Drosophila melanogaster: one gene and its partners. The protein of the gene in region 1 purifies or fractionates together with the protein of each later gene. This does not show direct contact. Each region holds a gene or a part of one and is shown in the gene's direction. Other genes may lie near its edges.

Region 1 (9,372 bases):
TGCTTGGGGACAATTAGGACAGCTCGTAAATATGCCAGAATGCGCTCGGATGCATCAATGAATGTGTCAATGATTAGGCACGCCGGGACAAAGGACACGATGGCCACGATGATGGCGCAAATCGAAATGTTGCACTCCACGTTAGTAGGGAGTGAGTGGGGAGGGGGACGGGGGAAAAGGAGACCTCAACGCCTAATGCAACTGCAGTGAAATGGGGCATGGTGAGGGGAGTAAGGGGTACGATCGCCGAGGGACGAGGTGCGGTAACAGAAGGCCATAATCAAGCGAATGGACGCGAAGGACAACGGCTGCCACGATACTCAGTGCACTGGTAAAAATGGGAAGTACTTATTAAACAAATTGAGATCTATTAGATACCTATGAATATCCATTAGATTAATACAATAGTAATTCTACCCAAAATGTATATGTCAAATATTTAAAATGTGCATTCAAAACATACAAGTCTATCATTACCACTCCGCACTATTCACTTTAATGATATCTACATATTTTTAAGTACCATTGAGCTGATAAGCAGCTCGTGTTATCTTTTAGATAAGAAAATCACTAAACTGATAATATGTGCGCAATTTCATATGGTATTTATAATGCATTCAACGAAACTTTTACTGCAACTATCCACTTTCCACCATAAAATTTAAATAAATAAATGTCTGAGTATTAAATATTTTCTAGTGCACACACTCACACCCACATTCGGCACACACACACACACACACACACACATGGTAGTGCCATTGCAGTCAATTTATTGTGACCAATATTACGCCCGGACTGACTCGCCGGATAGCTCCCGTTTGTTGGTGCCAAGCGGGAGGAGGTGGGTGGCAATTTGGGAGGGGGGTGGTCGGTCTCACTGGGTGCATGTAAATTGAAAATTATGGCAATGCGCAACAAGATTAGCCAATGGCCAATGGCTGCTGGCGGTGCTGGCGGTTCCGAGCCTTCCTAACAAGACCCAAATGAATTTATCGAGATGGGCGGCGATGTGAAGGGGGACTCGCGTACCGCCCGAGTTGCACAGACATAAACTAAATGAATGCCCATGGCCGCCAAATGAAGTTATGACTTAATGTATACAGTTATCCATATATGTATCTATATGGAGGTCGAGCCAAACAAGCAGATAGCAGTCGAAATATCTCTCAGCGAGCATAAAGTTATTACAAATATATATATACATACATATGATATGCAGATTTGTGAGCAAAAGTTAGTACAGCCTGAAGCTCAAAAATGAATCAAAATCAGCGAACGGAAGCCAGTAGAACGCTAAATTATGATAATTTCATTTAATGCCTAACTGAACCAATAGTTTTCGAATATATGTATATGGCTTTTTGGAAATAGAATTGCATTTCTGTTTAATGAAATGGTCTAACAATCGAAGTTTTCGATGCTACAAGAATACATCTTAGAAGTTTTTCACACTAAAATGTTGCCAAAAATGCTGATTTCAATGCATACATATTTGTGATAAACACGACAAAGATTTTATCCAGGACACTGACATACTATGAAAAACACTGGAAAGTGGCCCAGGAATCGAGTGGATAAGGGTGCATATCCCAGTTTCGATGTGTCAAATTCATTCCACTTTGGCGCTCTGCACTCAGCAGAGTCAGTCGAGCACTTTTCTGCGCCATTTTGACACCGAATCAGAATCCGAAACACTCAGTCACTCAATCACTCACACACACACACTCTCACACACATACGCATACATCTGCAGTGAGGGGAATCCCCGTTCACAGGGCTGATAGAAATTTGCAATGAATCGCAGGCAGATCCTCATGCCACATGCACTGCTGCCTTATTATGCAAATGCTGCGACTCGAGATGCGCTCTCGCTGCCTGCCAACGTCATCGATTTATAAGTTATGCAAAGAGCGGGAGCCAGAACTCACACACCTACCCTCTGCCCCTGGCGTGTCCTTCGTATCCTTCGCATCTCGGGAACATAGAGGCTTTCGCTGTTCGACTTCTATGTTAGCATGGCTTTGCGTTGTAGTTGCCACTTTTGCTGACTGCAATCCGAAAATTTAGCTAAATCAAGCTGAGTGCAGCGACACTGAAAAAAAAACTAGCATGGACTCAAGAACTAAAATATTTAAATGAGGTTTTCTAGCCATATTATGATTTAAAAGAAGTACAATTATGTTGTTACACTCACATGTAAAATATCTAAGATAATAATATAATAAAAAACAAATTAAATGGTTAAGTTATATAAACATTAAACTTCTTATAAACATATAGTTTGGTTATGCGAATTTCTCAATATTTTCAATTAGCACATTCGTTTTCCTCTTTAAATAAGGAGAATCCACTTAAAGAAATCTGATAATCGCTGCATATTGTGCTATTTATTTTATGTTAAAAAAGTATATTCGCAAGAGCATAAAAACAATCTGATCGGGTTAATCTTAACTTTTTCGCTGCTCCATTCTCATTGATTACTACAGCACAAAAAAAAAGTGGGGAAAGCGTGGAATCCTAACTAGAAGAACGGAAGATAGAATAATGGATAAAAAACAAAGGGGCAGGGCAGCAAAAACTTAAATCATTGGCAAATACCTTTTTACGATGCGGATTTTAATCAAAGTTTTTGCCACCGCTGTCAGTTTCTTTTTTTTACTTAAAATGGTAATAAAAAAAAAAGGGGAAACGACGATAAATAAACATTTTAAAATAATTGCTAACGGCGTGTTGTTGCGCTTTAGTGAACTTATTAGTCTACCCTCGCACCGGCCAATTTCCACAATTGATTAGTTTAAAATTGCATTTTTTGGACATTTAAATGGGAATCTAATTGATTGCCATTTTTATTGAGAGCACTTAACACTATACAATGGCAGGTTTTGTATTTAAGCTATATATTCCTCGTTTATACAGTGTCAAATTAATTATTGATTTTATAAGCAGCTAAGAAAATGATTGTTTAATTTGGACCGATTGATCATCGAGGACTTAAAATGGACTTAAAATAATTGGATATTAGCAACTTTGAAAAGATCCCGTTTACTCCCAAAACTTCAGAATCAACCCACGAACTTCTTTAAGCCAGTGTGACCCCACCCGCTCTTTAGCTCTCTTTCGCTCCATCTCGCTTCCGCACATCGATTGGCGAAAGCTTCGCTCGCACTCGATATCAGCTCACAACTTCGCTTGCAAGCTCGCCGCGGAAAGCTCGCGATCACACGGGTCGAAATCGAAATCGAATCGCGGTAGAGAGCTTTTCGAAGTGCGAGCGTCGACGTTTTATTTCTGCGGCTCAGTCGGTTTTAGTTCGTTCTGTTGGAGAAAAGCAGCAATCACACGTTCGCAAGGTGAACGCGAAGACACAGCAAAGTAAGCCCTTCCCCCCCACCAACACACACACCCACCCAAAGCAAATAAGTAACAATAAATAATGGAATGGCTGGAAGACGGTTCTGGGCGATTTAAACAATTAGCGAAAGAAAGCGGCATTGAAATCCGTCTTGAATTCGCCCCGAAAAAGTGACGAAGCAGCGATCAAAGCGCAGAGCGAAAACACGCACACAGACTGCAAGTGTGTTAGATAATAAGTGCAGCACAAGTCCACACTTGAGTAAAATAATCCCTAAAAAAGCCGAATATCAATTAGTTTTCCAAGGAGCTTGAAAAAGTGCGGTATGAAAACGTGAAAATTTGCGCGTGGAAAATTATTTTGCCTTGTCAGCTGACCCCCTTCCCCGTGTTCGCTCCATCCCTGTCGCACCGCGGGTCTTGTGATCGCCGCCGCTCTTGCGCTCGCTTGCTCTCCCATTTCGAAACTCGAAACAGAAGTGGGAGTTATTCGTATTCCGATAATGAAAAACCAATATGGAGAACGAGCGACGTAAAAAAGGCGGCCCAAAGATTTTTACCATTTCCCTTACCCACTTTTTTTTCATTTGTCAGCTGACGGCAATGACAGTAGTCTTGTGATCAACGTCAAAAGCAATTGTCAAATATTCGAACTCGAATGGAGAGCGAGAGAGCCAGAGCGGAGAGTTGCTCTCCCACTCCACCCTCTCTTGTTTTTCTTTGCTGATAATTATGAAAACCCGCATATTTTGAAAAACATGCATTTCAGTTACATTCCTCCGTTGAATTTGTCAACCTGTGGTTGTTTTTTCACAGCTCTTATTTTATTTATTTAGCGATTAGTTTGACAAATTGCTCTCTTCGAACTTTCAAAGCTCTGTCACGTGAAACGAAAGCTCTGCTTTTAAAGTTTTACGCAGCATAATCAAAGAGGGGGAGTTAAAAAAAAAATAATTAAATCAATCGAAATTATTAGCTGCTAACCTACAACTTTATAACCTATAATCGAAAAATTTGGGAGCTGTGGGCTCTACAAAAACTTAACCTGTAAATGTAGCAGATACACCTGCCCCTTGTCAGCTGACAGAGGGCTGAGCAAGAAATTAGTGATAAGAAAATGTTCACCTTTATCTTCGCCCTTTTGCAGCCAGCATTTAACAATTTTCCTCTTCTATTTTCCCTCCATTGCAGTCGAAAAAACAGAATAAAGCAAAATGTCCAACCTTAAGCGTTTCGATGATGAGGAGCGTGAGTCCAAATATGGACGTGTCTTCGCTGTCTCCGGTCCTGGTAAGCACCTAACTATACTGACTAACCATAACTCATGCTATCTAAAAGTTAATAAAAATAAGTTAATAATACCTGTGAACTGGAAACCTTACTTTGATGATTAGTCTAGAACTTACACTTCTGTGTGAAATAATGGCAACTTTAGAAATGTGTCCACCTATTTGTGATTAATATTCAAACAACTCAAACATTTTGGTTTCATTATTCAAAATTAAATGTGAATAATTTTAATAATTAATTAATTGTTTCTTTAAACTTTTTTCTATAATTCTAACAAAAACATCATCAAGTATCATTAATAATAAAAAATTTTAAAAGAAAATGTTCAATGGAACCTATCTTCGTTTGCTGAGTTATAAAAACTTCTTGAATGAAATGTAGCCCCCCTAACCCGACCAACCGCTTCATTCCAGTCGTCACCGCCGAGGCCATGTCTGGATCAGCTATGTACGAGTTGGTCCGCGTCGGCTACTACGAGCTGGTGGGCGAGATCATCCGTCTGGAGGGTGACATGGCCACCATCCAGGTGTACGAGGAGACCTCTGGCGTAACTGTCGGAGATCCGGTGCTGCGTACCGGCAAGCCTCTTTCCGTGGAGCTGGGACCCGGTATCATGGGCAGCATCTTTGACGGTATCCAGCGTCCCCTGAAGGACATTAACGAGCTGACCGAATCCATCTACATCCCCAAGGGTGTGAACGTGCCCAGTTTGTCCCGCGTGGCCAGCTGGGAGTTCAACCCCCTGAACGTCAAGGTCGGCTCCCACATCACCGGAGGTGACCTGTACGGTCTGGTGCATGAGAACACTCTGGTCAAGCACAAGATGATTGTGAACCCCCGCGCCAAGGGAACAGTGCGCTACATCGCCCCCTCCGGCAACTACAAGGTCGACGATGTCGTCCTGGAGACCGAGTTCGATGGAGAGATCACCAAGCACACCATGTTGCAGGTGTGGCCAGTGCGTCAGCCACGTCCCGTGACCGAGAAGCTGCCCGCCAACCACCCCCTGCTCACCGGACAGCGTGTGCTCGACTCGCTCTTCCCCTGTGTCCAGGGCGGTACCACCGCCATTCCCGGAGCTTTCGGTTGCGGCAAGACTGTGATCTCGCAGGTGAGAGTCCCACAAATTGAGAATTTAAGGAGCGATGCCTCGTGTAGCCTCCATACACTCAAGTTTCATAAAAATACAATCCCTAATAAATCATTTACTTGCTTGCAGGCTCTGTCCAAGTACTCCAACTCCGATGTCATCATCTACGTCGGTTGCGGTGAGCGTGGTAACGAGATGTCTGAGGTACTGCGTGACTTCCCCGAGCTGTCCGTGGAGATCGACGGTGTCACCGAGTCCATCATGAAGCGTACCGCCCTTGTGGCCAACACCTCCAACATGCCTGTGGCTGCTCGTGAGGCCTCCATCTACACTGGTATCACCTTGTCCGAATACTTCCGTGATATGGGTTACAACGTGTCCATGATGGCTGATTCCACCTCCCGTTGGGCTGAGGCTCTTCGTGAAATTTCTGGTCGTCTCGCTGAGATGCCTGCCGATTCCGGCTACCCAGCCTACTTGGGAGCCCGTCTGGCCTCCTTCTACGAGCGTGCCGGTCGCGTTAAGTGCTTGGGTAACCCCGAGCGCGAGGGATCCGTGTCCATTGTCGGAGCTGTGTCTCCTCCTGGTGGTGACTTCTCCGATCCCGTGACCTCCGCCACTCTGGGTATCGTGCAGGTGTTCTGGGGTCTCGACAAGAAGTTGGCCCAGCGCAAGCACTTCCCCTCGATCAACTGGCTCATCTCCTACTCGAAGTACATGCGTGCTCTGGATGACTTCTATGACAAGAACTTCCCCGAATTCGTGCCGCTGCGTACCAAGGTCAAGGAGATCCTGCAGGAGGAGGAGGATCTGTCTGAGATCGTGCAACTGGTCGGCAAGGCCTCTCTGGCCGAAACCGACAAGATCACGCTGGAGGTGGCCAAGCTGCTGAAGGACGATTTCCTGCAGCAGAACTCCTACTCCTCGTACGATCGCTTCTGCCCCTTCTACAAGACCGTGGGCATGTTGAGGAACATCATCGACTTCTACGACATGGCCCGTCACTCCGTGGAGTCTACGGCTCAGTCTGAGAACAAGATCACCTGGAACGTGATTCGTGAGGCAATGGGCAACATTATGTACCAGCTGTCATCCATGAAGTTCAAGGTGGGTTAACACGCAAATTTATCCATTGCCTAGACACTGGGTGACCACATTTTTCAATCCATTTCAGGACCCCGTTAAGGATGGTGAGGCCAAGATCAAGGCTGACTTCGAGCAGCTGCACGAGGACCTGCAGCAGGCCTTCAGAAATCTGGAGGACTAGAGACCGCGCTGGCCCTACTTTTACACTCTAATCTTATATTTGTTATATAGTTAACGTTTAAAAATGAAAGCAGTCAAAAACCATCCGAAAAAGCCTAATCAAACACCAACAATTCCGTGCTGCATTCGATGAAAAACAAAAGTCCAACAAATACCACAACTTCTTGGTGCCTGCGAGAGATGTAAACATTCCGGCCTGCGGTTAATACTTTCCCCTAACCACGCCCCCTCCGCCCCTTGAAGGGCAACTCTAGGCAACAGCAACTACAACGTCCTGCTATGTACTTCCATTTACAACAACAACACCAACATACACTTGAATAAAAGTACACGGACACTGGCGCACACACAACACATACATAAAAGACACAAATACAAATGCATGCATAAATAGTATTATTGTTTAATGAATGGAAATTCTTGTTTATTTGTGAAAAAAGTCATGTTTTCTCCCTGTTTGTTTGTTAAATTTATGTAAATATTTAAAGTATGAAATATTAAATGTACGAATAAAGTGCAACAACAAATACATTTAATGTAATTGAAAGTGAATTTCACTGGCAGCAGAATGGATATTAAAAATGTGTCAACTCGATAAAAAGATAATAAGTTAAAATATTTTTTTGAATTTTAAACCTTCATTATATAAACATACTTGACTATATGAAAGCTAAGAAAATGGGAATATATTGAAAAGCATAATCTAAAATCCTATATCATTCTCAGTCATCACCTTAGTCTTTCCATAAACTTCTGCCCCATTTATTTTATTTATTTGACAATATTAGTAAAAATTGTACCAAGTGAAAAAATTGTATATATTTAAACCAAATGGAAAAGAAGTCCTGGGTTGCACCGCTTACCTCGTTCACCAACAGTAACGCAAGTAACGAAGACAGAGCCCGCAACTCGGGATCGTTAAACCAAGATGGGGAGCCAAGGTCCGTGCCTCACCCAACGGTTCCGGCTAAGAAGTGCACATGTCCAACCTGCGCTTGCCAACGTAATGACCATAAATCCAATCCGGTACCCCCTCCCCCTCAATCACGCAAGCCTGTAGCCGAGCCGGAAAGTCCCCATGATACAGTCAATGACGAGGACAGTTTGAAGGACTTGAGACGTTCGACGGACCAATCCCACAAGAGCGCTCACATCGCCTTGGAGAAGAATGAGGACTCGGGTTTTGTGATCGAGCAGGTGGTTGATACGCACAAATATTCGTCGGATGAAGAAGAGGAGGAGGCGACGATGGGTCGCATTTTCGGAGTCTCCGGTCCGGTGGTCAATGCCGAGGAGATGGCCGGCGCAGCCATGTACGAGCTGGTTCGCGTTGGACACTCCCAGCTTGTTGGTGAGATCATTCGACTGGAGGGTGATATGGCCACCATTCAGGTTTACGAGGATACTTCGGGTGTGAGCGTGGGTGATCCCGTCTACCAGACGGGAAAGCCGCTCTCCGTGGAATTGGGACCCGGCATCATGGGCAGCATTTTCGATGGTATCCAGCGACCATTGAGGTCCATCAGTGAACTAACCAACTCCATATACGTGCCCAAGGGCATCGATACGCCCTCCCTGCCCAGGAACATTGCGTACGAATTCACACCCGGAAAATTGAAGATCGATGCTCTGATCACCGGCGGAGACATCTACGGATCTGTTTTCGAAAACAGCATGATGCACGATCACCGCCTGATACTACCGCCCCGCACCAAGGGGCGCATCCGGTGGTTGGCCCCGCCCGGGAACTACTGCGTGGACGAGGTGATCGTGGAGACGGAGTTCAACGACGAGATCACCAAGCACACCATGCTCCAGGTGTGGCCCGTACGGAGGTGTCGTCCGGTGGAGGATAAGCTCCCCAGCAATTCACCACTCTTGACTGGCCAGCGCGTCCTGGACGCCTTCTTTCCATGTGTCCAGGGCGGAACCACTGCCATTCCAGGAGCGTTTGGATGTGGAAAGACCGTCATCTCACAGGTGAGAGGGTTTCTAAGAGTTTAGTTGACAAATGATTACATTCCAATCAACTTATACCCCTAGGCCCTGTCCAAATACTCCAACTCAGATGTCATCATCTACGTGGGCTGCGGTGAGCGCGGGAACGAAATGTCCGAGGTTCTTCGGGACTTTCCGCAGCTTGAGGTTGAGGTCAATGGCACCATGGAATCGATTATGAAGCGGACTGCCCTGGTGGCCAATACCTCCAATATGCCGGTGGCTGCCCGAGAAGCCTCGATCTACACGGGCATCACCCTCTCGGAATACTTCCGCGACATGGGCTACCATGTGTCCATGATGGCGGACTCCACATCTCGATGGGCGGAGGCGCTGCGTGAGATTTCCGGACGTCTGGCCGAGATGCCTGCCGA
Region 2 (7,398 bases), on another chromosome or scaffold:
GAACTGTATGCTGCAGATGTTGCAATAGTAACCGCCACCCAAACTAGGCTGGTGGGTGAGCATGTGGAGGTCCAGTTCCCTGAGTGTTTGCACTATTTCCGGGCAGTGTGCGCACTTAAATGGCGGAATGTCGTCGTCCATAAAGTGCATCTGATCGTAGTACAAATAGTTCGCAATGAATTTCTTGCCCAGCCTCTCGCTGTTAAGGCGCTCCATCTTCTGTTTGGAGTAATCGAATCGCAGCTGGGAAATGCGCTTTGATATCTGGATGGTGGTCACATCGATCAGCTGCTGCAGTTCAATGGCCATCTGATGGAGTCCCTCGCCGCGTCGCTCCTTGCTGCGGTAGTCGGGATCGAAGCGGTTGTAAAAGCACTGGTACCGCTTCACCATGCTCAGCAGCTTGGCAGTAGACGTATCGTTCCAAATGGCCGAGAAGCGGCGGCGATAGGAGGTTTCCTGTCGGAAGGATGAGAGTTATTGATTGACATTTGATAAGCCCCACAAAACTAACAACTTTGATTAGGCATTTACGAGTTGCATTCTGAGGTAGGAAGGAGGAGAAGAGGACTATTACTGCGCATATGCAGGAGAAATTCAGTTTAAAAATTAATTAGTGGTGTAGAAAAGTCAACCTTTATATTTTCAAGACATTAATTACGATATTAAAGTAAACGGAGGACTTGGTAGTCAGCCACCCAATCACGTCGCTGGATAAATAAATAAAGTCTCTACTCAAGTCGCCCACCTGTTTACGTTAATTAATCCGCTAACAAGGTTCCGTTTCAATCCACCCCCAATTCAGAGAAGCGGACGCATAGGATCGAATTGAAAGGGGAGCCACTAACCTTAACAACAGCATCGGACATCTTATCGTTGTAGCTGTATACCTCGTTGAGGAAGTGCAGCTCCTTGAAGTACCACAGCGTACTGATGTTGGTCTTCTCCAGAGCCATGCGATTGCACTCCCGCTTGTATACCGTGCGCAGGTTGTCCCACTTACGGGTGATGGCGTCCTTGGCCAGCGAGATGTTAAACCGGCTCTTGAACTCCAGCACAATCCAGTCGAGGAAGCGGGCGCGCTTAACGCGATCCCGGAACTGTGCATTGCCGTGGTCCCACAAAAAGGGGTTGCGCTGATACGAGTGGATGAGAAACTGGATCATCTTGCGGTCCTTGATGTGCATCGTAACCTCCCGGTCGCGCTAAGGGGTGGGAAAATGATAAAATCATTACAAATAGGTATATATGGATATTAGTGAAAATTAAGGGTGAAATAAATGTAGCTTTTAAATCGATGGGCGAAAATTTTAACAAAAATATCTGTATGTATATAGTATAAAAATATAACTTACTCCCAGCAGGGACTCCTCCACCATCTCATCATAGCTGAGAAAGTCCGATTCGGTTCCGAAACCACTGTGGTTAACGCCGTCGAATCCAGCAAAGTCCATGTACTCTCCGGAATTGTCGTCCATATAGCTGTGATCCGGATCACCGTAGTCGTCCATGGATGAATCGCCGTCACCGGCGATGAGAAGCTCGCTAGACATGTCCCTCTGGCGCTGCTTTGTGACCTTTTTGCGTGCCCGCGTCTTGGAACTGACCACCGGTACATCGCTTTCGGGTAATATGGCCTCGTCCTCATCGGCCTCGGAATCGTTCAGCCGTTGCTCATCGTCGTCTTCTTCGCCGGCGACCACATCATCATCGCTGCAGGGCAGATCCTGGAGCTCTTGTTTGATGACCATTTGGGGCTCCAGCAGCGCTGTGTCCGCGTCCGTTAAGTCTTCGATCTCGTGGAAGTTGGGCAGATCCCCATTACGACCGGACAGGGACATGGGCTCGCCGAGATTGAAGGGGAGACGGGAGGAGGTATTCGCCACGGACTGGTCGCCCAGGTGAACTGTCTGCATGTGGCCGATGAAGGAGTCGAAGTAGAGAAACTTCTCGCTGCAGAAGATGCAACGCAGGGCGAAGTACTGGAAGTCATCTGTGGCCGTCACCATGCCGCAGTCCTTGGTGCAGTGACGGAAAATCTCCTCGTCGTTGGTACGTGGATACGCCAGGACACTCATCGCGCCGCCTGCGGATCCTCGTCCTGTCCGGTTAACAATCAGAATTCAATTAAGTCTCTTGGTACTCTACGCTGCGGTCGGCGCACTCTAGTATTGTGCCTTATTTTGACTTGATTTTATCCCGATTTGGCCAATAAAAAAAAACTTTTTAGTGTTGGGGTTTGGGCGCACGGTTGCATTTCATTTGCTAATCGCCATCGGTGGTCGCAGGTGAGCCGATTAAATTGTGCGGCTTATTTTGCAGTGATTTAGCGGGAAATAGCCATTACTAGCGGGAAATATATTACCACCCTTAAGACCTTCTTTAATACTCATAATCATATAATCTTTGTAAATAACTTAGATATTAAGAATCGCTTAAATTGATACCGATTAAATTAAGTTGCCCAAGAAGGGTAATGGTACGCTAGTCAATAAAATAATTTCGTTTAATAAATTTAAATAAAAAAAAAGATATATATATGAAACATTTTTTAAATGTCATTTTGCATGTAAGCCACCACAACGAAAAATCTAATTAGAAATAAATAAAAGTGTTACAAATTGGAAGTGATTACAATACTATCGATTGTACTGCTTTGAAGTCTCTAGTTGTCTTTCCCCCATCTGGTCACACTTGCCATCTGATTTCTTCGATTCGCCTAACTTTAAGCGTGCTTGGATTTGTGCCGATTCCTATTGATTTATTTTGCCGAGCTAAGAAAATCTCTGTTTAATTGCGACACGCGATGGCTTCGATTAGCTTGCTGAACCCCAAGGCCGAGTTTGCCCGCGCCGCCCAGGCTCTGGCCATCAATATCAGTGCCGCCAAGGGACTGCAGGATGTGATGCGCACCAATTTGGGACCCAAGGGCACCGTTAAGATGTAAGTTACTAAAACCGGCCTCTAATATCCCTCACTTTGCGTTCCATTAGCAATTTGAGTGAGAATGCTAGTTTATAGGCGAAAAAACAAACGTTTTGGTCACAGCTGCGGCAACTGCAAGTTTGAGGTTAGACTGGAACTAGCGGCATGCGTCATCGCAAAAGAAAGAAAGAGAATGTTGCAACTCTGGAGCAAAAAGCTTAGAATTTAGGTGTTTTTATTTAATTTCAAAAAGAATCTTAAATGAAAGATGCCCCCAGAGGCTTTAATTTATTCATAAATGTGTGTTTACCTGCATATCCAGCACCGGGTGATTCAGAAAGTGGCATCGAAAGAGGCGTGACTTGACTCACGCGCCGTGAAAAGTGAAACAAGCATACTAATTCTAGAAACTTCGCAGGTTGGTTTCTGGCGCCGGCGACATCAAGATCACCAAGGATGGCAATGTCCTGCTGCACGAAATGCAGATCCAACATCCGACTGCCTCTATGATTGCCAGGGCCAGCACGGCCCAGGATGATTCCACCGGCGATGGAACCACCACCACTGTGATGCTTATTGGCGAGCTCCTGAAGCAGGCCGATATCTATCTGTCCGAGGGACTGCATCCTCGCATCATGACCGATGGATTCGAGAAGGCACGCGACAAGGCATTGGAGGTGCTCGACCAGGTCAAGGTGCCCGTGGAGATCAACAAGAAGAACCTGGTGGAGGTGGCCAACACAAGTCTGAAGACCAAGGTGCATCCCGCCCTTGCCGATCTGCTTACGGACGTCTGCGTGAATGCCGTGCTGACCATTGCCAGTGCCGATAAGACCAAGCCCGTGGACCTCCACATGGTGGAGCTGATGGAGATGCAGCACAAATCCGATACCGATACACAGCTGGTGCGTGGACTAGTCATGGACCATGGTGCTCGCCACCCGGACATGCCGAAGCGTTTGGAGAATGCCTACATCCTTACGGCCAATGTCTCGCTGGAGTACGAGAAGGCCGAGGTCAACTCTGGCTTCTTCTACAAGACCGCCGAGGAGCGTGAGGCCTTTGTGCGCGCCGAGCGCGAATTCATCGACCAGCGTGTGAAGAAGGTGATCGAATTGAAGCGCTCCGTGTGCGATGGCACCGACAAAACCTTCGTCCTGATCAACCAGAAGGGCATCGACCCCATCTCGCTGGACGCCCTGGCCAAGGAGGGCATCCTGGCCTTGCGTCGCGCCAAGCGCCGCAACATGGAGCGTCTGTCTTTGGCCTGCGGTGGCACTGCAATGAACTCCTTTGACGATCTGCAGGAGGAGCACTTGGGATACGCCGGTGTGGTGTACGAGCATGTTCTGGGCGAGAACAAGTACACTTTCGTTGAGGACTGCAAGAACCCGCTGTCCGTCACGATCCTGATCAAGGGTCCCAACAAGCACACGATCACCCAGATCAAGGACGCCATCAGGGACGGTCTGCGTGCCATCAACAACACCATTGCCGATAAGGCTCTGGTGCCCGGAGCTGGAGCATTCGAGGTGCGCGCGTACAACGAGCTGGTCGCCTTCAAGGACACCATCAAGGGCAAGTCCCGCCTGGCAGTGCAGGCCTTTGCCGATGCCCTGCTGGTCATTCCCAAGACGCTGGCCGTGAACAGCGGCTACGATGCCCAGGACACAATCGTCAAGCTGACTGTTGAGGATCGCCTGAGTCCCGAACTGGTCGGCCTGGATCTGGCCACCGGGGAGCCCATGAAGCCCGTGGATCTGGGCGTCTACGACAACTACATCGTTAAGAAGCAGATCCTCAACTCCTGTTCGATCATTGCCAGCAACCTGCTTCTCGTCGACGAGGTGATGCGTGCGGGCATGACGAGCCTCAAGGGCTAGTCCCCATCATTTCATCCGACCCATTCAATTTAACCAAGTTAATGCACCGCATGCTACTCAACCCGCGTCTCTCAAAGCCACACACAACCAAAAGAAAACTAAACACGTAAATAATTTGGAAACACATGAAATCGGAATGGTTGCGGCTGCAAGTATTCACATTTAAAATACAATTCTAATAAATACAAAAACCAAACACAGCTCTATGCTTAACGCTAATGTATTTTCTATTTTTATTAACACTAATGTTTACTCACTACAAACTTTCATTGGTTTAAAAATAAATGGAAATAGCGATTTAGCCGTGACTCAAACCTCAATATGGGCGGTAATTGGGGAATACCCACAACTACATTTTTTGGGGCCACATGGTATATTTGAAGAGTCCACTGGGTGGTCACACCGCAGTCAACAGTTGTCGCTTTCGCTGGAAAGCAGCTGAAAACAAGTGAATTTCTGAATTAAAAACATTTTCAAACATGTTTTCGGTTACTTGTGTGGCGCCCGTAAACATAGCGCTCATCAAATATTGTGGGTAAATTAATACATATATTATAAGCACATAAACTTATGCACATGCATTCCTTTAAAGGGGGAAAGCGGCACGAAGAGCTAATTCTGCCCGTCAATGATTCCATTAGCATGACTCTGAGCACCGATGAGGTAAATATGAAAGATATTTAAATATTTATTTGCGTTTTAAAACCAACAAATTGTAATTAAAAAATTAAAAAACCTTAGACGCTTTTAATAATGGTTTAAGTTTAAAGTGCGCGTAGTCGAAGTTTTCATTTTCTCACAAATGTAAATATTACGAAAACTTTCTATTTAATTTGGGAAGATCTCACGGATTTTCACTTTTCACCGATTCTCTCTCTTTCGATTTGTGTGGACACTGAATTTGCTTAAGATTAAAATGAAATTACTAACTTAAAAAAAATGGGTTTTTGAATATGGGTTGTTCGAAATCCTGTAATTTCTAACTTATTTTTTGAAATAGCAATCTATCGAGACTTTTAAAATCTTGAACAATTACCTTTCTTGATCCCATCTCCCAAGCTCTGCGCCAAGACAACAGTGACTGCATCGGAATCCTTTGAAACGAATCGCATGTGGCTGAATGGGGAGGAGGTGCCTTTTGAAGAGAGTTCCCGCCTGCAGCGCTGTTTGAATGAAGGCGAGTTTATAGTTATATATATAAAAGTATAGAACTTTAATGTAAAAAATGCACTTGCAGTTCATCGATTGGCTGTGGCGAGTGGCTCCCAGAAGGTTCCGCCAACCTGGAAGCTGCACATCGCATCGGTAAACAATTTCCCCACCGCCGCCGGACTGGCATCCAGTGCAGCTGGCTACGCCTGCCTGGTGTACTCCCTGTCCCGACTCTACGATATACCGCTGAATGAGGAGCTGACGACGGTGGCGCGGCAAGGAAGTGGATCGGCATGTCGCAGTCTGTATGGCGGTTTTGTGCAGTGGCATCGCGGAGCTCTGGATGATGGCAGCGATTCGGTGGCGAGGCAAATAGCTCCATCCGACCACTGGCCCAACATGCATGTGCTCATCCTGGTCGTTAACGATGCACGCAAGAAGACTGCCTCGACAAGGGGCATGCAACAGGCGGTGAAGACGTCTCAGTTGATCAAACATCGCGTGGATCAAGTGGTTCCCGACCGGATTATCCGATTGAGGGAGGCCATCGCAAGCCATGACTTTCAGGCATTCGCCGAGATAACGATGAAGGACTCGAATCAGTTCCATGCCATCGCCCTGGACACCTATCCGCCGTGTGTCTACATGAACGATGTGTCGCACAGTATCGTGTCCTTCGTTCACGATTATAACGAACGAATGGGTAGCTATCATGCCGCGTACACCTTCGATGCTGGTCCAAATGCATGCCTCTATGTCCTGGCGGAGCACGTTCCGCATCTCTTGAGCGCTATCCAAAAGGTGTTCCCCAATGATTTAGCGGATGGTGGCACCTACTTGCGAGGCCTTCCCATTCCAAAAGTGCAAGATGCTGAGAGCAGCAAGTTGGATTCACTAGATGTTCATGCTAAAAATGCTTTCAGATATATAATCCACACGAAAGTCGGTGAAGGACCAAAAGAATTAAGCGCTGATAATAGTTTATTGATAAATGGACTTCCGCTGAAGTGATGAGAGTGATTTTGAGAGTGAATTGCATAGGGAAAGGCACAGAAATTCTATAAAGGAAATATTTTTTAGAATATATTTATGCGAAAATACATTTATCAAAATGTACAATGGGGCACAATGTATAAACATTTAAAATGCGCACGATTATTCATTATTACGTGACTAAATTTGAATATCTCAATTGCAACAACTTAATTTATTCTCTTTATTTATTTTTACCTTATTTATTTATGAATTCCGGTGAACAAATGATTGGCTATTTTTAAATAAAATTATGAAAAACGGAAATCAATTCTAATTGCAATTTTAGCTAACCTTGGTTTATACATTTATTTTGCATTTGTATTTATGCTATTTATAGAAAATCAACAAAATACGCTTTGTAAACACGAACTTCTTTCATTTCGATTTTGAATGCTTTTTGTGG
Region 3 (8,205 bases), on another chromosome or scaffold:
CAGCCTTTTCTCTCTCCTTGGCTTTACCGCGGTCTGCGGTGTCCTTCGACTTGGCTTTGTGCTCTGGAGAGAATCGATCCGGAGTTATTTTGCCACCGTAAGTGCTGGCATGGGATAGCTCGAAAAAGGACTGCTTAGGATTCTTTGTGGCCTCCTCGTGGCGACGCTTTCTCTCATGCTCGCGCCGCTTCATCTCCTCCTCGCGCATCTTGCTCTCCTCCTCAATGCGCTCCAAGTCGGACAACTTGATGGTGCGCTTCTGGGCATGCTTCCAGTGAGGTGGCGTAGTGCTGCGCGAACGACTACGCGACGGGGTGCGAAAGCGCTGTAAATGGTGTCATTTTAGAAATTGTGTGCGGAGTTACAAACAGTTTTATATACTCACAAACACTCCGCGTCCTTTGACAATGCGACCACTACGCGATGTAGGCGGTGCCTGCTTCTTTGACCAACCGAAATTGTTACGGCTGCGGTCTCGATCCTGATCTTTGCCTCGATCACGATCCTGCCCGCGTGCTCCACGCTCCTCACGATCCAGCGACTTTGATCGCTCTGCGCGCATTAGGAATTTGTTCGATACCTAAATACAGAAGAGTATAGGATGAAGGGTACATATTCAAGAACAGGAACAGAGAATCCACTTCAGTTACCTCTGGTATCTCGTTAGGATCTATCTTTGTAATTGTGACCAGCGGATGCAGTTCGCCTTCCTCGCGGTCCTCGTCATCATCCTGCGGGGTCTGGTCATGTTTTCCATTCCCGCGACTTGTTTCATTGCTGTACGAACGAAATGAAATGAAACAAATTACAAAATAACAACCACTATCACATACTCTTCGCTATCGCTTTGCGACTTCGTATCTTTGCGGCTGCGTTTTTTCTTCTTGGCCTTGCGCACGACCTTTGCTTCAGCCTCACTTTCCTCGCTGTTTGAATCTTCGGTGGCCGTGGAGCGCCTCTTGTGCTTCTTCTCCTTTTTGGCTATGTGACGAGAAGCATGTCAAGTATAATGGATATGCGAAAATGGATTACAGTCGTACCCTTTGTCTGTCTAACTAGTTCACCGCAGTTGGCAATGGCTGCATCCTGCAGCGGGCGTGAGTTCCGATCGACAGGCAAGCCCTCCAATTGGCGCACCAACTCCTGACCGGATATAACTTGGCCGAATACAACATGGATACTGCAACGAGAAAATATGACGCTATTAATCTGTTGATCTACTTAACGTGTTCAAAGCTAACTTACTTGTCCAAATGTGGCGCAGGCTGTGTTGTACTACAATGAGAAACAGAAGAAGAGAAAAATATTCTTTACACTTTGGCTAACTGGTTGTTGGGCTGCAGTAGGCAGTTGTAGTTGAAATCGGTGTTGTTGTTGTTGTTTCAGTTGTTGTTGTTGTTATTGTTGTCGGTTGTGGCGGAGACAATGTCATGTGCAACAAAGTTTAAAGGTTTCTAGGTGTGTAGGCAGAGGTGGCACACAGGATTTTGGCAAGCCACCAACCGCAAGAGCCGCTGCCGCTGGCCATGGCCAGCACATTGTCATCTGGCAGATCCATCGTGAGGATCCAGCCCAAGATTCCCGCAAAGATCCACAAGGAGCCGACAGCGAGAGAGAGAGAGATTGAGACACACACTGAGACCCAGGCCCAGGGACCAAAGACCATGGAGCTGAAAGACCTGCATCGTCTTTCGCTTGGTTTTTGGACCCACAGACCAAATGCACTAGGGATGCTGGGATGGCGGTGCATCGGCCGATGGAGGACAGATTGCGATGCATCTGTCCGCTGGTCAGTGGGACGCTAGCTCACACTTTAACGCCCACGGGCTAAGGCTAAATGGCAATAGATTAATGAACAACAACAGTGGTTTAAGTATAGATCAAAAAGAAGACGAAGAGAGTTTAGCTGTAATATCGGTGCCTGAAACAGAACTGAAACTAAATTTACGGCCACGTTAGTCCGGACCAGCCGGTTACGGTCCTCCGTCGAGAGCACTTACATAAAGAACTGCGAGCCATTTGTGTTCTTGCCCCGGTTGGCCATCGACAGCAGGAAGGGACGATCGTGCTTCTTTTCGAAGCTCTCATCTGGAAAGAGGAATCGGATTGTTTAAACCAAATTCACTTTAAATGTTACTTTAAAGCCCAAGAGAGATGAGCAACTCAAGTTATCTTCTAGATAACTTTTTAATGCGCATGTAATTGGATTTCCCAAAGCCGCTTCTATTTGCATATTTGTCCCATTTTCCACCCAAACGTATAATTAGCAATATGTAGATGTATGATGTGCACCATTCCCTTATCTTTCTAATGGAAATATTTGCCAAAATGTAAATTTAAATTGAGTCGCTTGAGTAAACATTTATTTTTGACATTTAAATGGGGCATTTGTACACTTTGGCTGGCATATCAAAAGCGTTTTAATTTTTTTCGACAAAGATTAAACTTAAGTAGATTATTGTAGTGCAGTTTAGATGTAATTGGCTGGAAGTTTTTAAATCTCCAAATGTGGGTGTCTGTATTTACAGTGTTTTTATTACATTTCTCCCCCTACTGACTCTTTATTAATTGCACTTTAAGTACCCTGTATATTCCCTTTCGTTTTCTGTTCTTCTTATCAGATAACCACTGTATTGATTTTTTCCCACACAAACAGCAGCACACACACACAAGCGTGTATGTATGCATGCAGGCATCGAATCGGAAGCCGGAAGAACTCACCCTCGAACGTCCCGCCGTAGATGGACTCGCCGCCGGTGCCGTTGCCCGCAGAGAAGTCGCCCGCCTGGACCATGAAGTCCTTGACCACCCGGTGGAATATCACACCCTTGTACTGCAGCTTCTTGCCGGTGATTAGGCCAAATCCCTTTTCGCCCGTGCAGAGTGCGCGGAAATTTTCGGCCGTTTTGGGCGCCACATCGTTGAAGAGCTCGAAGACAATGCGGCCCATGCCCAGGCCGCCCAGGGAAATGTCAAAGAAGCACCGCGGTCGCGTGGCACCCGCGTCGCGTTTGTTTACCGTCATTATATGCGCCGATTTCTGCCAATAAATGCTGTTTAATACGTATTTCACGCCGTTTTCGAGTTGCACAATGTCGGCGTTGCCAGCTCTACTCAGAACTAGGGATGTCAAAAACATACAGTTAGAAATATCGATGTGCAATATGCTTAGCATATTTTCGGGTATCGATATATTAATTTTAATATATATATTTTCTTAAATTTGTTAATACATACATATGTACGCTCAAATAAACGGTAAACTTTGAGCTATATATAGTCAAAATACACCATTGATTACTCTCAGCAACCAATAATCATTTTATGCTTTTTGGTATAACTTCCAAAACCTTTAGAACATGGGTTGAAAATATTATCTTCAATGCTCATATTTTTGGGAAAAACAGAATGTCGTTTAAACCAACTATGAAATGAGATCTGGCCTTTATGGTCATATTATATTAAGCTTTTTCAGACAATTTACACAGTTAACATCTTTGTATATAGCTTTAAAAGTTTATTATATTATTCAATACATAGTAAAAAAATAATTTATTAAATTACCGTTCCATCCCTGGCTGCAATACGGTCACACAAAGCCAATGTTTACATGGCAGCTCGCGTGTGGCTGTAGCTGTGTGCGTGAGCGAGAGCGCAAGAGCGGCGCGTGTGTGCGTGCGAGCGGGAGAGCAGGGCGAAGACGTGTTCTTTTCGCCGAAAAAGCAAATAATTGGGTTGGTTTATCAGAGAAAAACAAAAAAAATTCCAGCCAGTGTCGCGATAAAAACACGACAATCGCATTGCAGCCGCCTCAGAAGTGTAAGATCAGCCTCAGCTGACCGGAAAGTTAACATTGCGACGTGGAAAACCACGAATCACCAGCAAATTTCAGCAAAAGCAATCGCATTTCAGAATGTGTGGCATATTCGCGTACCTAAACTACTTGACGCCCAAGTCGCGACAGGAGGTCCTGGATCTCCTGTTGCAGGGACTGAAGCGGCTGGAGTACCGCGGCTACGACTCCACGGGCATAGCCATCGATGCGCTGAACTCTGGCGAGGCACAGTCCATAATGCTGGTGAAGCGCACCGGGAAGGTGAAGGTGCTGGAGGATGCGGTGGCGGAGGTGTGTCGCGGCCAGGACTACTCGCTGCCCATCGACACCCACATAGGCATAGCACACACGCGCTGGGCCACCCACGGTGTGCCCTCCGAGGTCAACTCGCATCCGCAGCGATCCGATGAGGATAATAGCTTTGTGGTGGTGCACAATGGCATTATAACCAACTACAAGGATGTGAAGACGCTGCTGGAGAAGCGCGGATATGTATTTGAGTCCGACACGGACACGGAGGTGATTGCCAAGCTGGTACACCACCTGTGGCAGCAGCATCCTGGCTACACTTTCGGCGAGCTCGTGGAGCAGGCCATTCAGCAGCTGGAGGGCGCCTTCGCCATCGCCTTCAAGTCGAAGCACTTCCCGGGCGAGTGCGTGGCCTCCAGGCGAGGCTCACCGCTTCTGGTGGGCATCAAGGCCAAGACCAAGCTGGCCACCGATCACATACCCATCCTGTACGCCAAGGCCCATCGGCCACATGGTCAGCCGCAGCAGCAGGCCTATCAACTATTGCCGCCCGGCGATTGCAACGCCGAGTTTCAACCGCTGGAGCGCAAGGAAGTGGAGTACTTCTTCGCCTCGGACGCATCGGCTGTTATAGAGCACACGAATCGGGTGATTTACCTGGAAGATGACGACGTGGCCGCCGTCAAGAGCGATGGCACGCTCAGCATTCATCGCCTAAACAAATCATCCGATGATCCGCACGCCCGCGAGATCATCACGCTGAAAATGGAGATCCAGCAGATCATGAAGGGCAACTACGACTACTTTATGCTGAAGGAGATCTTCGAGCAGCCGGAATCCGTGGTCAACACCATGCGCGGCAGGATGAGGTTCGATACGCAGACCGTGGTTCTGGGTGGCATCAAGGAGTACATACCGGAGATCAAGCGCTGCCGCCGCTTGATGCTAATTGCGTGCGGCACATCCTACCACAGTGCGGTGGCCACCAGGCAGCTGCTGGAGGAACTGACCGAACTGCCCGTTATGGTGGAACTGGCCTCCGATTTTCTGGACAGAAACACGCCCATTTTCCGGGACGACGTGTGCTTCTTCATCTCCCAATCGGGCGAGACAGCGGACACCCTGATGGCGCTCAGATACTGCAAGCAGCGAGGAGCGCTCATCGTGGGCGTTACCAACACGGTGGGCAGCAGCATCTGCCGCGAGTCGCACTGTGGCGTCCACATCAACGCTGGACCCGAGATCGGAGTGGCCTCCACGAAGGCCTACACCTCCCAGTTCATTTCGCTGGTTATGTTCGCCTTGGTCATGTCGGAGGATCGTCTCTCGCTGCAACAGCGCCGCTTGGAGATCATCGATGGCCTATCGCAGCTGGACGAGCACATTAGGACTGTCCTCAAGCTGAACTCGCAGGTGCAGCAGCTTGCCAAGGAGTTGTACGAGCACAAGTCGCTGCTCATTATGGGCAGGGGCTTCAACTTCGCCACCTGTTTGGAGGGCGCACTGGTAATCCATTTGATAATTTGAGCTATAATTTAATCGAATCTCATTTATGCATCGTAATGCATGCATGGGAACGTAATGATGGAAAATAACCGATGTCAACAATTCACTTAACTTGTTTATTTGCCAAGTGCACTTAAATTAATTATTATGTTTGTCCCACGCTTCATGAGCTGAATTTAATCAATTAACTTGCTCATTGCAGAAAGTCAAGGAGCTGACGTACATGCACAGCGAAGGAATCCTGGCTGGAGAACTGAAACACGGACCACTGGCCCTGGTGGACAAGGAGATGCCCGTGCTGATGATCGTGCTGCGGGATCCGGTGTACACCAAGTGCATGAATGCACTGCAGCAGGTGACGTCCCGCAAGGGCAGACCGATCCTAATCTGCGAGGAGGGCGACAACGAGACCATGTCCTTCTCCACGCGTTCGCTGCAGATCCCGAGGACCGTGGACTGCCTGCAGGGCGTGCTCACGGTGATTCCGCTCCAGCTGCTGTCCTACCACATCGCCGTGCTCCGCGGCTGCGACGTGGACTGCCCCAGGAACCTGGCCAAGTCGGTGACCGTGGAGTAGGCGCCCCAACTATCTGGCTAACTGGCTCGCACCGTCTCAAGAATTCCATTTTAGTATCTGCCTGAGAAAAACAAAACAAACCCTAGCACTTAAGTTAAAATTTTCTGGTATTTTGTCGGATCAAAATCCGAACCCTTAACCCATTTGTGCTCCTTCTGGCTGAAGCCACATATGTTTAACCCCTACATTTGTAGCTGTACTGACCCTTTGTGTTGTGGACCCACTACTTTTTGTGAATGTGCAATTGAAATATAATTATTTCCAGTTTTTCTTTAAAAGTGTTTTGCTGCTTTCAATTAAAAATGGATTGGAAAATGTTTAACCAGTAAATTTGTTTGAAAACGGGAAAAACCAAACAAAGATCTATATGTACCTCACTTTACAAAAAATGCTTATCTGACATTAAACATTTGTTTCAAATGTTTAAAAAACGAGGGCCACGTCACGTTATTGCTTACGTTATGTTAATCACGTTGTAAATTTTAGAAAAAGAAAAATTACATATATATTTAATTCTGATAAAACTAAATAAAAATAAATTCTGATAAAAATAAATGATATTCCGAGCACTTAAGTAGTGTGAAATCGATAAGCCGCATAAATTTGAATGTCCTATTTTCAATTTCAAATCAAGTGGTAAATGGGGAAAAAATAAGTTTGTTCTCGAAAAGTAATTCTTTCTGGAAGATATTTCAAAATCATATTTAAAAACAACATTAAATAAATTAAATCAGTTGCGAGCCGGTTGGGACATCTCTATTAACCGTAGCTATCACATCGGTCGATATCTATCGCAACGCAACGCAAACGAATTGAACAACAACCCTGCTCTTTTTCTTTTGGACCCGTAGAACCACATGTCTGGTAACCGATTTTGATTTTCGTTTCGGCGGTATAATGCTCCAATTAATTGACTAATTGCGGTTAATTGACAAGACAAGTGAACGGCGCAAGTACGGTGCAACCAATAACGCAGCGAGTGTGTGTGCAATTGCGAAAAAACCCGATAAATAATATTCGTAACGTTCTGCCCAGCAGCGCGTGAGTGAGTGCGAGCGAGAGGCAGTGATTCGAGGTGCGTAGTGGTGCGAAAGTGTGTGTGCAAGGAAACCCGCAAAAGCAAAAGCAAAGCAACAATAACAACACACGCACGCACACACACACTTGTGTACGTGTTAACACGCGGAGCGGAAAGTGCGTAGTGAACATACGAAACGTACGAAACAAGAAGTGGGAGAGATAGCGGAATAAAATACAATTCTTGTTTCCATTTCAATCTCCTCTGGTGCGTATTCAAATCAATCTGAACCTTAACTTGTGTATGTGTGTGTGACCGCGTGCATCGTTTTGAAATTCGAGGCGAGCTGCAGTCGAAATCAGCTGTTTTAAAAGGCCCGACCAGGGCGGCACTAACAGCAATGCAGGCCGTTAGCCGAGTGCATTGGATATTGCATAATATTGGGTGAAGCGAAAACAGGGATATTGTGGTAGGCCACAGGGTATAATAAAACCAAATTGTAGCTATAAACGCAGTTTCTTTTATTTGCACCTTTAATTCGCTTCGATTTCCTGTCGTATTACCGGTTACGTTCAACGCCATGCCATTACGTTGTACTCCAGTTTGGCAAGTGGGCAGCTCGCTTTGCGGCAGCCCTGGTCGCTTAGCGTTGTGTTGCTGCTTCCTCTTCCTCTTGTGTGGGGCAAAAATCTAACCTCACTTCTTCTTCTTCTTTGGAACACTGCTGTGTGTGGCTGCTGCATAATAATATAATACCTCTCGATTCACGATTGGTCGTGCCTCGCAACGGATTTTCTCCGCTCGCCCAAACTGCAGTATATAATCGTGCAAAATCCGTGGCAGTAAATTCAATTCGCCGAGGAGCGTGACAGCTGAGGAAAATCGAGAAAACGGCCGCTGGGAGAGGCTTTTCCGATGGCCAGTTCCTAAAAAATCACCGCACTCCTCGGGAGGCTCTTCTGCAGTCCCACAAGAATAGTAATCCCCATTGCGAAAGCCCCAAGTTCAAAGTGCAGTGTA
Region 4 (7,232 bases), on another chromosome or scaffold:
AATTATTTCGCACGCAGCATCGTTTTTTTTTTTTGGCACAAAAACTGATTTAGAACGACCTTCGGGAAATTCGTCATTGAAAATTCCCGGTAGCTGAAATAATATGTACATATGACTTAACTAATCCCAACTGTAACTTCCTGCGTGCTGCTTTTGCTGGGTGTGCCATGGAGCACGAGAGGATTGGCGCCCAGCTCTCGGGGGGAATGGGTCATCGTGTCCGGCTCACGTGTTCCGTCTGCACTTGTTTACGTAAAGTGGCGCTGCATACTCGGAACTAGTTCTGCGCTGGGTTGGCCGCCCACCCTGCTGCCTTCCCCGCCAGCGCTTCACTTGCTCATCATCCCGCTCCTATCGAGAGTACTACGTGTCTCTGTATGTCTATTATTACCGACACCGAGCCGTGTTGTTGTTTACCCGCTGTTTCAGTTGCGTTTTTTTTTTCTGCGGAATTTCTCTGGTGCGATGCGCGTGGCGAATTGAATCGGCCATTTGGCAATTAAAACTGAAATCGATTTGGCCGTGGCTCAACTTCGAAGAAAAGGGGCGTGGCTGGGGGCGCGGGGTCAGGTGTCACGTGTCGTCAGCGCAAAACAGTCAGAACTACTGCCACCCGAGTCATAAATATTTGGGTTAATGAAAAGGGAATATCTGATTACATAAAAATGGTTTCACAAGAAAGTATCTTTCCATTAGCTGCGCGAATGTGTAATATATTTTTGCTTATGCACCAATGCATTAAATTGTAGTTCAAAAATAACTTTGTTTATTTCGAATTGTTTACTGCTTTATTGGATTTTATTTATAAATTGCTTGGTAAACAAGTGCATATGTGTCGATTAAACAAAACAAGAATACAACTTGTGTTGGTTCATTGAAGTAAAATTGTTATTCCTTTTTGAGAAAACTTATTAACCCTTTGGCTAAAAGTTACAAGTTGGAGTGGTGGAAAAATTGGCAAAGGGAAATTTGAATAAAATCCAGCGAATGAAGAAATTTGATAAATGATGCTTGCAACTACATATAAACAGAATGCAAAGCTAACCAAATGCGGTTTCAAAGAAAAACTTTATAATTTCATAAGACTAAATGTGATGTAAACGAAACGTAACACACAAAATATGGGAAAGTAATGTAGAGCATTGATGGTAACCAATCTGTTTCTCGATCTCTTCCAGCTGAAAGTCAATTGAATCTCTGTTCCTCCGTCACCGCGTCGCGAAGCCGTTAAAACTGCCGCTCCCAAACATTCGCTGCGATGGCCACCTCATCGATACTCGCCAAAAGCACAATTAATAGCACATCGCCACCGGCCACGCCCAGCAGCAGCGCGTCCCCCGGCTCCACACTGACCACCCGGAAGCGGACCTACGAGATAGCCATTGCCATGCCCTCGTCCACCGCCTCCAGCAGCGCCACAAAGGTATCGGAAGTTCAGGATCAGCGCACAAACAGCCCCGGCAAGTCCAAGAGCAGGCCCGGCCAGCTGGAGAGTGTCTTGGTGGTCGGCGAGGGAGCCAGCGAGCCCACCACCTCGGCCACCACACTGCGGGACAGCACACGCACCATCTCACAAAGCGACGCCGACGATGGCGGCGAAGCGGCAGCCGCCGAGGACCTGCTGCCCCCACAGTCGGATTACCTCAACGGCGTCAAGCGGAAGTACGTCCCGCAGCAGCAGGCGTCGCCGAATCACCGGGTGGTGCCCGCATCCACCTCGCAGCAATTCTTCAGCGGGGCCTCCGATTTTGCGGTAAGTAGTCAAGAGTTAGGATGCAAAGTTAGTCTAAATCGTAGTAGCTGAAATCGTTTGAAATTGATGTTCGAGTCGTGAGTCGTATATTTCCGACGATGTGTGATAAGATCGAGAAAGAATGTGTAGACCAAGGACACAATCGTCCAGTTGAATAGCCCAACTAATCGGGAACTTTTCTTCCTGCAGACAATTTGCAAGCCGGCGCCCTACTCTCACGACGAGGAGGCCATGCTGGAGCGGGATAGATGTGACTACACTCAAAGGATCACCTACCAGATGGCCCGCTCCGGACAGACGACCCGCAGGGTGAGGGTCTACGCCGATGGCATCTACGATCTTTTCCACCAGGGCCACGCCCGCCAACTAATGCAGGCCAAGAACATCTTTCCCAACGTGTACTTAATTGTGGGCGTGTGCAACGACGAGCTCACCCACCGCATGAAGGGACGCACCGTGATGAACGGCTTCGAGCGATACGAGGGAGTGCGTCACTGCCGCTATGTGGACGAGGTATGTTCTGCCCGGCACTGATTAGAGATCTTTCAGTCTATAGCATCTTACTCTGTCTTGCAGATCGTCCAGAATGCGCCATGGACTCTGTCCGATGAATTCATCGCCGACAACAAAATCGACTTTGTGGCCCACGACGACATTCCGTATGTAACCGATGGCATGGACGACATCTATGCTCCTCTCAAGGCGCGCGGCATGTTTGTGGCCACGGAGCGCACTGAGGGTGTGTCCACCTCGGACATCGTAGCCCGGATCGTCAAGGATTACGATCTGTATGTGCGTCGTAATCTGGCCAGAGGCTATTCGGCCAAGGAACTCAATGTGTCGTTCCTGTCCGAGAAGAAGTTCCGGCTGCAGAACAAGATGGACGAGCTGAAGTCGCGCGGCAAGCGCGAGCTGAGCAAGGTGAAGGTGGACATCATCACCAAGTGGGAGGAGAAGTCGCGCGAATTCATCGACACCTTCCTGCTGCTGTTCGGACGTGAGAACCTGAATCATTTGTGGAACGAGTCGAAGGGCAAGCTGCTGCAGGCACTCAGTCCGCCGGGCAGCCCGTCGGGATCAGTGAACGGTGATGACACGGAGGGCGGCGAGGACTACAGCGAAACTATTGACGAGTACTTGGAGATGGCCGAGAAGTTGAGCGGGGGCAGCGGCAGCGGCAGCAGTGGATCGCTGAACGGCAAACAGAGGCCGAAGCAGAAGCGCTCCTCGCTGGCCCGCCGCAGTTACCAGAGTCTGCAGAGCCAATCACCCGACTTGGAAGCGGATGGGGACGAGGATGCGGATGCGGATGCGGAGTACGAGCGTCGAAGCAATTGATTCTATTGCGGGGCAGCCCGATCTTTTCTTCTTCTCTTAATGTCTTTAATGCTATTGTAAATGGACTTGCTTGCAACTAGTTCGACGGCACACTATAGATGCCCCAGGATCGCCACGCAGGCTCCACGAACACACACTTATATTTACTCTAGCCCTAAGTGGTATTGTAATCCCAATGTTTTAGTTGGCACTCGTTCTCCTCCTGCCTCAACTCCACCTGCCCATCTCCATCTGTGAGAATCGAGGGAATCCTGTAGCTAATTTAGCTGTGTGTGTGTGTGTGTGGGACAAGCAACCACCAACGCGGAAAAGACTCATTTTTGTATTAGGCACTCGACGGACTGTGCACGAAATCAATCGGCAGTGGCGGCAGATTCAGGTGCCGAAAATATCTAGAAATATTTATATTAAATTATTTCGCATAACATTAAACTAAGTTAACAACACCGCAACCAGAACACCAACCAATATAGAGAAATCCAAACAAACAAATTACGAAATACATTCGGAAAATGCAAAAAACAAAAACAAGTAATTAGTAACAGTTGGCAATAGCGGAACTATTGCAAATGCTTTGTTAAATATTTTTTGAAAAATAAACATTGAATCGAAAGGAAATAGAAGTAAAGCGAGTGGCTTGTGAATCAGTTTGCTATCTCATACGTTTATCCAGCAATTGCGCATCCGATTCAGCAGCCATCCATGGCACTGCTGGAATTCTTGAGCGCGCGCCACCGATGATGATGAAACCGTTTGCCTTGATTGGACACCCATTCCCTCGCAATTAGCTGCCCATTCACCGGCTTGAAGCGGTTCACTGATTTGTTTAATGGCGCTGCGGTTTATATATAGATGCGCACCCATCGCCTGATCGAATCGGCGGACCCGTGCCAAGTCAGGCGACCGACCCGTTGCTTCCTATTTGCTTGCGCCGCAATTTGCGGCAATTGAAGATGAGCGATGAATCCGAGCCAGAGACTTGGGCCTGAGACTGCTAGAGCCGCCTCCAAGTCGTGTGCCTCGCCAGCCGCTGGACTCAATTGTATTGATTCGCCACCAGTTGCCGCCAATTTATTCTGATCGCAGCTAGTGCGCAGTTGGGGACATCTCTCGCTCAAAGTCTCGGACTCAATCCTCGACAGAGTAGACCTAGAGGGTTATGCCGGTTCCGTCTCAATTTATGTAATCAGTCGTCCGGATGAAATCCCCTTGAGCGGACCACTAGTGCTGTACTTAGTTGTGTATACTCGTACATATATTTTTATAAGCAATGGACAGAATGCCGAAAGAGGACGACGAATCTCCAGTGTCGACGGCTCCTGCCACACCGACATCGCCGATGGAGTTTAAGATGCTACCGCTCTTTATGGACTTTGAGGATTTTGTAAGGCTACTCCTTAGAGGAACAGGAGTTGCCACATACTAATCTCTCTACCCCAAAACGCCTCCAGAGCATTTGCCAGCCTGCTCCTTTCTCGTACGATGACAAGGCCATGCTGGAGCTCGAGAGATGCGACTACACACAGAGGATCACCTATCATATGGCCAGAGCTGGGAAGACGACGCGCAGGGTGCGGGTCTATGCAGATGGCATATATGATCTGTTCCACCAAGGCCATGCCCGCCAACTCATGCAGGCCAAGAATGTGTTTCCCAACGTCTATCTCATCGTCGGCGTGTGCAATGATGAGCTGACCCTCAGGATGAAGGGACGCACGGTTATGAATGGATTCGAGCGCTACGAGGCGGTGCGCCACTGCCGCTACGTGGATGAGGTAAGTGTGTTAAACTGAACCAATGAAATGTTTCTATACACTTTTCGATCCATCACAAGATCGTTCCGAATGCTCCGTGGACGCTAAATGAGGAGTTTATCGAGGAGCACAAAATCGACTTTGTGGCCCACGATGACATACCCTATGGAGCTGGCGGAGTCAACGACATATATGCTCCACTCAAAGCGAAGGGAATGTTTGTGGCCACGGAACGCACTGAGGGCGTGTCCACGTCGGACATTGTGGCCCGAATCGTGAAGGACTACGATGTATATGTGCGCAGGAACCTGGCCAGAGGCTACTCAGCCAAGGAGCTCAACGTCTCCTTTCTCTCCGAGAAGAAATTCCGTCTGCAGAACAAGATGGACGAGCTGAAGACACGAGGCAAGCGGGAGCTGACCAAAGTCAAGGTTGACATCATCACCAAGTGGGAGGAGAAGTCGCGCGAGTTCATCGATGCCTTCCTGCTCCTGTTCGGCCGGGAGCGGCTTAACACCTTCTGGAACGAGTCCAAGGGCCGAATCATTCAGGCACTCAGCCCACCAGGCAGTCCGAATGGCTCCGTAAACGGTGACGATCCAGACGCAACAGACGACTTAGACTCTGAGGATGAGTACATGGAGCTGCCACCAGACTACGGGTCTGGTAGTTGCGTATCCCTTAGTCGAAAACAAAAGCGCCCTGATAAGGTGAATGCCTCAGCAAACCTCAATTACTCGGAGCAACCAGAGCATAAGGATGTCGTAGACGAGCGACGCAGCGACTAAAGACGAATTTGGCCTCTTCCTATCAATTAAAACATAAATAAATATGTTTGAAGTTTAATGGAACAGCGCAGTAGGCACTTTTATACATATTTAAAAGAGCTACCAGAAAAAGTATGCGCTTAAAATACATTCCGATAAATTTCAGTTAAATTATGAATATTTCTTTTGGCAAGAAAGTAAAAAGGCGTTTATTTGATATTTTACTTGCTGCCTTTATTGGTTATCTTATGTGTATTGTGAATATAAGTTGGGTTAAATTATAGATTAGCTGAATGATTTTCCAAATCCTCTTCAATGATAGAACAATCGCATTTGTTATTTAAAATAACGTTGAAATATTCGCATAAAAACAAAAATACAATAAATCTTGTAACTTCATAAGCGATCATCATCTAGCTCTTCATGGAGCTCTGTTCATGCCCGTGGCGAACAGGGGAACCATCTTCTTGCCCTTGGCCTTCTTTTGCTTCTTCGATTCCGCTGGAGCTGCTCCATTGGATTTTGCTGCTCCTACCTTTTGCTTTTTCTGGTCCAAGGCTCCAACTAAAAGTTCTCCCAGACCCCAGTGGCCCACAGATCGCTGCTCAAAGTCCTCATCGCTGGTTCTTGGGACCATTACAGCCCGTGGCGGCGGTGGAGCTGAACGGCCCCAGGCGCCCACTTGAACATCCAATGGCGCGCCACCACCTCCAGGAGAATTACTTCCAATAGTGGGCCACATCTCCTGCTTGGGACTTCCCAGAGTGACACTGGAGTATCGGGAACCGGGGTCCTGGTTGCTGATGTTCATGGGCACAGAGCCACTGGGAGCGGGCAAAGCCTCCTCGAAGCCGCACTTTAGATAAAATATCACATATTAATAATTGACACTAATGGCAGGCATTGCTAGCTCACAGTGGGAAACTCATGGGAGGAGCTTAGGTCAAGGTTAGCTGCACTGGCAATAAGTTTGCCCATCTGGCGGTCATTTATCTCGTTGATGTGCTGCTCTCGCTTGCGCTCCTCGCGATCCCGACGCTGTCGTTCCTTCTTACGATGAAGAATGTCCTCTGCGGAAGGAATACATATAAGCATAATGCTGTACATGGACCTAGTGGACTTACCCTTAAAGAGCTTGAGTATTCCTCCAGTGACCACTGGCGGCTGCAATTCGACTTCCACAACCGAAAACTGACAAGTCAAAGGCAAGTGGCCAAGACAAGTGAACTTGCGTCGATGCTCCTCATCCATAGAGTGCTGTTCCATCTGCACGATTTGGGCTTCGATGAGTAGCGGACCCAAGTCCAAGGTGCCGTAGCAAGCCTGAAGCATCTTCACGTTCAAGGGATGCAAGTAAATATTCTGTCCGTCGTTTGACTGGTAGAAATAATAGTATTTATTATGGTTGCTCGAGTAGCTAAGGCTGCTGGATGCTTCTCCCGACGAGATGGAGGCATCGTCTGACTTCTCAATATCAATCTTGGTCTCGGTTTCTAGGCAAAGTACAGGTGCTGTCTCCTCTTCATCCTCTTTCGGATCAGGTTTCTCGACACCCAACTTCTCAACACGCTCCTGAAGCATCACCAGCGCTTGCTGGATGAACACATCCTCGGGACAGGA

What was found.
Region 2: the proteins of Vha68-2 (region 1) and CCT6 purify together in Drosophila melanogaster (affinity purification with mass spectrometry, with the first as the bait; one large-scale study listed by BioGRID). This does not show direct contact.
Region 3: the proteins of Vha68-2 (region 1) and Gfat2 purify together in Drosophila melanogaster (affinity purification with mass spectrometry, with the first as the bait; one large-scale study listed by BioGRID). This does not show direct contact.
Region 4: the proteins of Vha68-2 (region 1) and Pcyt2 purify together in Drosophila melanogaster (affinity purification with mass spectrometry, with the first as the bait; one large-scale study listed by BioGRID). This does not show direct contact.

The regions. Positions count from the first base shown.
Region 1 is NT_033779.5:12,971,069-12,980,440, forward strand, and holds Vha68-2 (vacuolar H[+] ATPase 68 kDa subunit 2), read left to right. Parts: upstream 1-3,253; 5' UTR 3,254-3,375; intron 3,376-3,553; exon of another isoform or gene 3,554-3,678; intron 3,679-4,117; exon of another isoform or gene 4,118-4,155; intron 4,156-4,333; exon of another isoform or gene 4,334-4,401; intron 4,402-4,545; 5' UTR 4,546-4,568; coding exon 4,569-4,644; intron 4,645-5,057; coding exon 5,058-5,755; intron 5,756-5,863; coding exon 5,864-6,841; intron 6,842-6,908; coding exon 6,909-7,001; 3' UTR 7,002-7,539; downstream 7,540-9,372. Other genes in the region: Vha68-3 (vacuolar H[+] ATPase 68kD subunit 3), read left to right, coding at 7,832-8,980, 9,044-9,372. UniProt on the Drosophila melanogaster protein: Catalytic subunit of the V1 complex of vacuolar(H+)-ATPase (V-ATPase), a multisubunit enzyme composed of a peripheral complex (V1) that hydrolyzes ATP and a membrane integral complex (V0) that translocates protons.
Region 2 is NC_004354.4:15,743,965-15,751,362, forward strand, and holds CCT6 (chaperonin containing TCP1 subunit 6), read left to right. Parts: upstream 1-2,683; 5' UTR 2,684-2,806; coding exon 2,807-2,943; intron 2,944-3,343; coding exon 3,344-4,808; 3' UTR 4,809-5,007; downstream 5,008-7,398. Other genes in the region: CG8944 (uncharacterized protein), read right to left, coding at 1-459, 849-1,205, 1,356-2,078; Mvd (mevalonate diphosphate decarboxylase), read left to right, coding at 5,288-5,339, 5,401-5,471, 5,868-5,985, 6,046-6,971.
Region 3 is NT_033777.3:28,335,255-28,343,459, reverse strand, and holds Gfat2 (Glutamine:fructose-6-phosphate aminotransferase 2), read left to right. Parts: upstream 1-3,694; 5' UTR 3,695-3,913; coding exon 3,914-5,590; intron 5,591-5,792; coding exon 5,793-6,167; 3' UTR 6,168-6,441; downstream 6,442-8,205. Other genes in the region: Moca-cyp, read right to left, coding at 1-325, 386-580, 651-777, 834-981, 1,041-1,180, 1,246-1,275, 2,001-2,088, 2,722-3,025.
Region 4 is NT_037436.4:1,549,536-1,556,767, forward strand, and holds Pcyt2 (phosphocholine cytidylyltransferase 2), read left to right. Parts: upstream 1-3,957; 5' UTR 3,958-4,361; coding exon 4,362-4,475; intron 4,476-4,542; coding exon 4,543-4,866; intron 4,867-4,925; coding exon 4,926-5,633; 3' UTR 5,634-5,780; downstream 5,781-7,232. Other genes in the region: Pcyt1 (phosphocholine cytidylyltransferase 1), read left to right, coding at 1,259-1,753, 1,943-2,266, 2,330-3,091; CG12099 (uncharacterized protein), read right to left, coding at 6,034-6,468, 6,528-6,682, 6,737-7,232.